2 linked regions of the Saccharomyces cerevisiae S288C genome follow. The protein of the gene in region 1 purifies or fractionates together with the protein of each later gene. This does not show direct contact. Each region holds a gene or a part of one and is shown on either strand. Other genes may lie near its edges.

The links.
Region 2: the proteins of ARG8 (region 1) and HXT5 purify together in Saccharomyces cerevisiae (affinity purification with mass spectrometry, with the first as the bait; one large-scale study listed by BioGRID). This does not show direct contact.

The regions. Positions count from the first base shown.
Region 1 is NC_001147.6:57,187-60,858, reverse strand, and holds ARG8 (acetylornithine transaminase), read right to left. Parts: upstream 2,101-3,672; coding exon 829-2,100; downstream 1-828. Other genes in the region: CDC33 (translation initiation factor eIF4E), read left to right, coding at 1-476; tRNA methyltransferase PPM2, read right to left, coding at 2,320-3,672. UniProt on the Saccharomyces cerevisiae protein: catalyzes the conversion of N-acetylglutamate-gamma-semialdehyde (NAGSA) to N-acetylornithine in arginine biosynthesis.
Region 2 is NC_001140.6:294,076-298,581, forward strand, and holds HXT5 (hexose transporter HXT5), read right to left. Parts: upstream 2,373-4,506; coding exon 594-2,372; downstream 1-593. Other genes in the region: PAL2 (Pal2p), read right to left, coding at 3,310-4,285, 4,410-4,506.

The sequences.
Region 1 (3,672 bases):
AGTCGTGGTCTGATCTATTACGTCCCGTCACTTCATTCCAAACTGTTGAAGAATTTTGGGCTATCATTCAAAATATTCCTGAGCCACACGAACTACCATTGAAATCAGATTACCACGTCTTCCGTAATGACGTTAGACCTGAATGGGAAGATGAAGCCAATGCTAAAGGTGGTAAATGGTCTTTCCAACTTAGAGGAAAAGGTGCTGATATTGATGAATTATGGCTAAGAACTTTACTAGCAGTTATTGGTGAAACAATTGATGAAGACGACTCCCAAATTAACGGTGTCGTTTTAAGCATTAGAAAAGGTGGTAACAAGTTTGCCTTATGGACTAAATCTGAAGACAAAGAACCACTATTGAGAATTGGTGGTAAATTCAAGCAAGTTTTAAAATTAACCGATGACGGGCATTTGGAATTCTTTCCACATTCCAGTGCCAATGGTAGACACCCTCAACCATCAATCACCTTGTAAGATAGTCTGAATTTTTCTTAAGATAATTGTTATTTTAATCAAAATTATATATATAATCATAATATAATATATATACATTCTACTAGTTAGGATGCACGTATAAACTCATCATGTTAACACAGAAGGAAAAGTCAAAATGAAGGAGAAAAAAAAAAAAAAAAAAAAAAAAGAGAGGATGACGTTAAAAGGACAACTCTTATTAATTATATCATTCAAGGTATGAAAGACGCACCACATGTACATATCACGTAAGATGTTCCTATGTGTCTCTGACCGAATGGCATTTTTTATACTACAATATAAAGATGAAAAAAAAAAAAACAATCTATACATGACAATTTACAAAGTATATTTAAGCGTAAACCGCTTCAATAGCCTTTTCAAAAGCATCCATCCCTTCTTCGATTAGTTCGTCTTCAATCGTTAATGCGGGAACAAATCTAACGGTACTCTTACCAGCGGTAATGATCAAAAGTCCCAATTCTCTGGCCTTTTTGATGACCTCGGTGGGTGGTTCGACGAACTCAGCACCAAGCATCAAACCTTTTCCTCTGATAGTCTTTATTTGATTTGGATATTTGGCTTGAATTTCGCGCAAGCGCTTTTGTAAGATATCACTCTTCTTAGAGACTTGTTTCAAAAAAGCTTCGTCTGCTATGGTATCCAAAACATAGTTGCTTACAGAACAGGCCAGCGGATTACCACCATACGTGGTGCCGTGGTCACCAACTCTCAAAGCATTATTAACTTTTTCATTGACGATGGTGGCAGCGATGGGGAAGCCATTTCCCAATGCTTTGGCAGATGTAAAAATATCCGGATGAGCCTCACTTGGTAAATAAGCATGAGCCCATAGTTTACCTGAACGGCCCAAACCGCATTGAATTTCATCATGAATGACAATCACATCATTATCTTGACATATTTTCTTCAATCCGGTTAGCTTTTCAACTTCTACGGGAAAAACCCCACCTTCACCTTGTATGGGCTCGACAATTAAACCAGCAATCTCGTCCTTTTTGGTCTCGATATAACTTTGTAGTTTGGTCATTTCGTCATTCAAATTTAAGAATGAGACATGGGGAACCAAATCCCCAAAAGGAGTTCTATATTTACTATTCCAAGTGACAGATAAAGCGCCCATAGTACGGCCATGAAAAGAGTTCTCAAATGCAACAATGCCTTGCTTGCTAGGATTTTTCATTATACCATGTTTCTTTGCAAACTTCAAAGCAGCTTCATTTGCTTCCGTACCAGAATTACATAAAAATACTCTTGAGGCGTCGTGTTGACCACCGAATTGCTTGGTCTTTTCAACAATCTTTTCACTTAAATCCAAACATTCCTTAGTGAAGTAAAGGTTGGAGGAATGAACCAGTTTGTTAGCCTGATGGTGCAGAATTTCTGCCACTTTAGGATTTGCATGGCCTAATGCGGTCACCGCAATACCTGCGGTGAAATCGATATATTCTTTACCATTCACGTCATCATACAGCTTTGCATTTTTACCTCTAGTTATACATAGATCTTCAGGTCTAGAGTAAGTGGTCACTTGAAAGGCCTTTTCCTCTAAAATGCTTGTAAATCTTCTTGATGACGTACTGGATAAATATCTTTTAAACATGATTGGTAGCGATTCTTGAATTATTCTAACAAACGAAAAAAATGTTCGCAGTCACTTGCACTTAAGAGTCGAATTTTCTTCATGTTGCAATTTTTTTTTCACGCTTTTAAATAGAGCGGAAAAAGGCCATTATTTCGTAAAAAAGTGCACAATGACGCATCATGTACTTTAAGTGAGTCACATAGCGAGCTGGCAACCATTCGAATCCCGATAGGAGCATTATTTCGCGATTGCTATGAGCTTAAGACCTACATTAGTCACTGATCCAAAGCCGTAGCAAGTGGCACCGCCTCCAATGATATGTATGGTGCCCATAGAAGTGGACACCAAACTAAATCCAGCAAGCATTAGTGAGTGATCTTCCCATATGCGTCTTGATATGGGAATTGATGTTAGCGTCTCACTCAGCGGATCAAGGCTGATTATAGAGTTGGTCCGGTCAAATAGCCCGGAAGGACTTGTTCCACCGACTATTAATAGCTTTCTTGGAGTAATGTATTTTATCTGGGATCCATAACGTTGAAATAAGGGGTGCTGGAGCTTCTTAATCACCGTAATTGGTTCAGTAGCATTTTCCGCATCATATTTGAAAATAATTGCCTTGTCCGAGACAGTTGTTTGATCCATAAATCCACCACCCAATATTATGCCTTGTTTGGAAACCGGATCAAATTCTAGACCCGCTGATACTAGCGAATTTTGGAAGAATTCATCTTTTGGAGTTACGTCTTTGAAGATTTCTTCGGTGACATTGTATAGCAGCATGGCAGGTCCTTCTGTAACCCCACCAAGGATCAGGACGTTTCCATCCGGTAAGCTACATGCACTATGTCTGAATCTCGTGTGTGATAAACTCTTGATCATCGACCACTCTCTTGTTTTCATATCAAATATCCAATTATCAGAGAGACCTTGGTGTGGTGCCTTTCTACCTCCAATAAGCAGTAGCTGGTTATTTCTAGAAATAGTTGTAAAAGTGTGACACATTCTTGCTACAGGAACCTCGCTGCTGCTTACTTCAATATTCTTCATGTCTATTTTGTCGTAGTGTATACTCAACTGTAATATTTCGTTTACTCTGTATGGGTTACTACCTCCCATGTAAAACACATCATTTCCAGCGACATCTACATCGCCAAATTTTCTATTGATGGGGCACTCGCATTCTAGAAGCTGATAGTCTTCATCCACAGTTAGGTTTATCTCAGATATTGATCTGTCAAACAAAAACCCTTGAGTAAATGCGAATTCTTTATAGTTCGTAGCGTGGCATAAAACATAATGATGACAAAATAAATGGAACTCCTCTAGTTCATCAAAAGGCTCTACCTTTAAAAGTTCCTTCTTGGTTGCCTCATCTGCGCTTTCCCACAGTTGAAACATATCACCCACGTTAACGTAAGCGAAACCTAACTTATTGAATCGTTGAACCTGTGACTCGATAGTATTATACTTTAATACAGACTGTAACGGAGAATCATTTCTCTTGAAATGAGCTAGCATCTGCTTAGAAAAGGGTTCAAAAGGTCCCTTTGGAATCAACTGCTCAAGAATAATAAAATGACTATTCTC
Region 2 (4,506 bases), on another chromosome or scaffold:
GTCTGATGAGAATGATGTCATCAAAGAACGTAAACAACAGTAACTGTCTATATTCTTGCTTTTTATTATGCGCTGTTACAGCAGGTAGCGGAGTTTTCAGTTCTTTCCCTAGTATGTAGTATGAAGGATAATACGGTAAAAGAACGGGGCTCTTGATTCATCATATAAATTTATTTTCCCCTGTTGAAACCTCGAGTAACCGTCCTCACTGTTTTATTACCAAGGATGAGCTCGAGCAGTTGTAAGAGAGAAGTGGGCAGAAAAGTATAAGTAACAAGAAACGATATACAAGTTCTTGTTGTTAGGCGTAGCAACCCTTTCTCCCCTGGTTTGATCCTACTTAAAATAAAGAAAAAAAACAAAAACGTCATGATGATTTTGATATTATTAGACATACGTAATTTAGTTGAATTAAAGGAATAACAGGCAGCCCTATTAACCACGGACAAAATATCTCTGCATATGATTGCATTATTTGTAAACTATGAATGAACATATGAACGAAAACGATTAATATTAATATTAAAATTTGAAATGGTGCAATGCTGAACATTGCAAGTATGCGAAAATAGTTGATCCTACACTACAAGAGATTATTTTTCTTTAGTGAACATCCTTTTATAAAATGGTCTCGGATCATTTCTAGTAGCGTCTAGGTCATAATCTGTTGTTCTCCTAGATGGTGGGATCCATTTGGTAGACTTCCAAGGTAGCACATTTTCTTCATACATTTCGTTGACTTCTTCTAATGTTAAGCCCTTTGTCTCTGGAACAAAGAAGAACACATAAAAGTATGCGAACACCATACAACCCATAAAGACATAGCCATAATAGAAATTGATTGCTGAAGTAATAAATGGAGTGAAAAAACTGATCAAGAACCCCCAAATCCAGTTACAGGCACTTGCAATCGACATTGCTTTACCACGTACTCTTAAGGGATACGACTCAGAGATAAGGACATAGGCAACGGGGGCCCAAGTGGTAGCGAAACAGAAAATGTAGAAACATGCGAAAACAATCATACAGTTACCAGCACCCTTTGAAGATGGTTGATCTTGACCGTTTGGCCATAATCTGGTAACACCAACAGAGGCATAGACGACATAGCAACAAATCATACCTACACAGCCCCATAACAAACAATTACGACGACCAAAACGATCGACGGTATATAGCGAGAAAAAAGTCGAAACAAAATTAACAACACCCAAAACAATAGCAGTTTCAAATGAATCTTCCAAACCAACAGCCTGGAAAATTGTAGTACCATAGTAAAAGAAGTAATTGTCACCTGTCAGCTGTTGTAAAGATTGAATCATCATACCCATTAGTGTACGTCTGAACATCTGGGGCTTACCAGTAACCAATTCCCCCCAAGAAGCAGAGCCCGCCAATCTCTCAGCTTCAATAGAAGACTGATAGTTCTCCATTTCTAAAGTTACTAAAGGAGAGTCTTCAGTGGTTTTGTTAGCTCTTGCTAAGGACCGCTTGGCCTCTTCAATTTTTCCCACTTCTACCAGATAACGTGGGGATTCAGGAACGAACGTCATACCAACAATCATAAAAATAGACCATGCAAAGCATAAGCCTAATGGTACCCTCCATTGGACAGAGTTTGAGTAATTCTTGGTACCAAAATTAGTACAATATCCCAAAAAGATACCGAAAGTGATCATTAATTGGTAACATGAAACCAGAGTACCACGCAACTGCTTAGGCGACACTTCAGAAATTAGCATAGGCGCCAAAACTGTAATACCACCAACGCCCAGTCCTGAGATGATTCTTCCAATGAAATATTGATACCATTTGTCAATGGAGGCGATTTGGATGATGATCCCAATTGAGTAAATGACGACAACAGTCATCAGACCAATCTTACGTCCATACATATCACCGAGCTTTGACAAAACTATACCTCCGATAGCGCAGCCGATGTTGAAAATAGAAACCATCAAACCGGTTCTGACATCGGAAAGATAGGTAGTCCCGTTTGCACGGGTGCTGCCAAATCGCCTAATGAAGTCTGTTTGCCTGACAAAACCAGATATAGTACCAGTATCCCACCCAAACACGAACCCACCAAAAGCAACCATCAAACAGCAGACGGATACAAATAGTAAATCCGACTTCGATTTCTTCTCTAGTTGTTTGTCAACCTCCTTCTGAAGCTCTTCCAGTTCGTCTTTGGGAGGGCCTTCATGGGAAATGTAACTTGAGACGGGTTTAGCTTGTGCCAAATTATCGTTGTAACCGGCGGTACCAGGAGCAGTCGAGTTTCCTGACTTCTCGTTGTATGAGTTAGAATTTGTGCTCACAGTAGCAGACCCTTCCAAGGGGCCTTGATGAGCGTTTTCAAGTTCCGACATTCTTTCTTTACCTCTAATATATTCTTTTTTCTAGAAAAATAATATTTTTTGCTGGTTTTAACAAAGCTATGAAGTAAAATTGCAAAGTGAAAGCGAATCTTGTTTGCGTATATTATATATAGAAAAATTATTCAATCGACTTTTCTCTTTCTTTTGATAGTTTCTTATTCTTAGAGGGAGAACCGTTCGACTAGCATGAAAAGAAAAGAGAGAGACTCTTTTATACGTGAAATCAAAAAGAAACCAAACTTGAGGTACTCTACTAATGATTCTGGCCCTCCTTTCTTGTTTACTCCGTGCCCCTAAAACTAATTAACCCATGCCCATATATTCATCCACACGACCATTAATATTGAACATAAAGATATCATTTCACCAAGCAGTACTTCACTCAATAACAAGGTGTGAAATCCGGTATATTATTCCATCGCTATGAGTGCGGGATCAGAAAGTGAATTACTTACTGTCCCCTAATGTGCACAGCCACGGGGAATGCGGATCAACTGCAGAGAAAAGGGCGCACAGAGTTAGAATGCATCCCTTAATCCGGGAAGTAACAGTAACACGTCATGCGGATGTTTCTTCGGTGGGTATGGGTCACAATTTCGTCCACCAGTACATCACAGCATGCTCTCATTTCTTTACTTTTTGCTAGCAGATGATTACTTTCATTTCGGGTGGGATGGGCCACCTTTTTAGTTTATCCTCCGGGATGCCTTAAACAAGAAAATGGAACAGTGGGGATAAGACCCATAAAAAATCCGAAGTGATAAGTATTGATTGGTATATTCCCGTATCGGAGACCTTAACATAACATAGTGTAGTGATTTTGCGTATAGAAAAGTAACCAATAAAATAAGGTAAATATTGCTATATGAATGTAATAAATAAAATAATATATGGGCGCAACAAAAAGAACGCAAGAAAGAAGCATTGATCAGTGCTTTTTACTAGTTTTCAAGCTTTTCACCCTCCTTAATAGCTTGTTGCCGGTGTTTTCCTTTTTAACAACATCTTCGTGACCGCTTCCTTGGGTGGCAGTGACCGGAACAGAAGTTCTATTATCGTCTACGTCCTTTTGCTCCAAGTGTCCACTATGTGTTTTCACTAGCTTTAAATTGTTGTTGTTCACTTGTAGATGTCTTCTTGAGGGGAGAGACTTTTTTCTTGCTATGCTGTTTTTCCTACGAGATTCTTGTGCGTGGTTGATAACATCTTGCTCTATGGCAGCGGAAGACGCTGGTGCGCCATCCAGGAACGTCGTTGAGCCTAGACCCATCGTAATGGGCCCATGGACTAGTTCAGTTTTCATTTTGGAATCGAACTGGGTAATATTTTTTGAATTCGGTTTAATCGCATCCAAAGTCGTAGTACTGGAATTGGCCTTATTGAATAAATATGCTCTATCTTGTAGTTGGTTCAGCGTCTCAGAATCGTCGTCTACTGTTTCCCTACCAAACACCTCATCTAAGGTAGACTTCTTACTTGTGCGGCCGCCTACTGTATTATTTGGACCATCTGCTGGGAAGGCCAGTACAGGCGCCACTTTATTATTCTTATTTCTCTGTGGAGTGCATGCATCAAAGGGGCCGTCATGATGGAAAGATCCGCCAAATAATCCTGTAACATCCATCTTGTCAATAGTGTCTACATTTTTAGGGGGCTTAACCTTGGTTCTGCTTTTGCTCTTCTGCTTATCTTTGTCCCTATGTCCGTGTGATGTACGACGATGGTGGTGGTGGTTGTGTTGGTGACTATTTGAACCACTACTGCGTTTCTTTTCTTTTGGGTATGGAGCTTGCTGTTTCGGTGTCCCCGCAGCTTCTTCATATGATGGGAGTCTTTCTTGTCTAGAATTGGAAACGCTACTGTTATGGGCCCTCCTAGTGTCATCTTCATTTAAAAATGGGTTACTGCAATAATTATGGATTATCTCAATCGATTTTGAAAGGAGAAAAAGAGTTAAGTTAGTATTCTGAAGTAGTCATGACTGTTAGTTACACTGTAGTGCAATTTTGGGAGTGGAGCTACACATACTTATAATTCCTGGGCGTTTCATCCCTGCTTGATACTCTGTCCTCTGAAGGAGAAACTCTGAAGGGGTTAATCACTGTATTCACGCCATTTTGAGGAC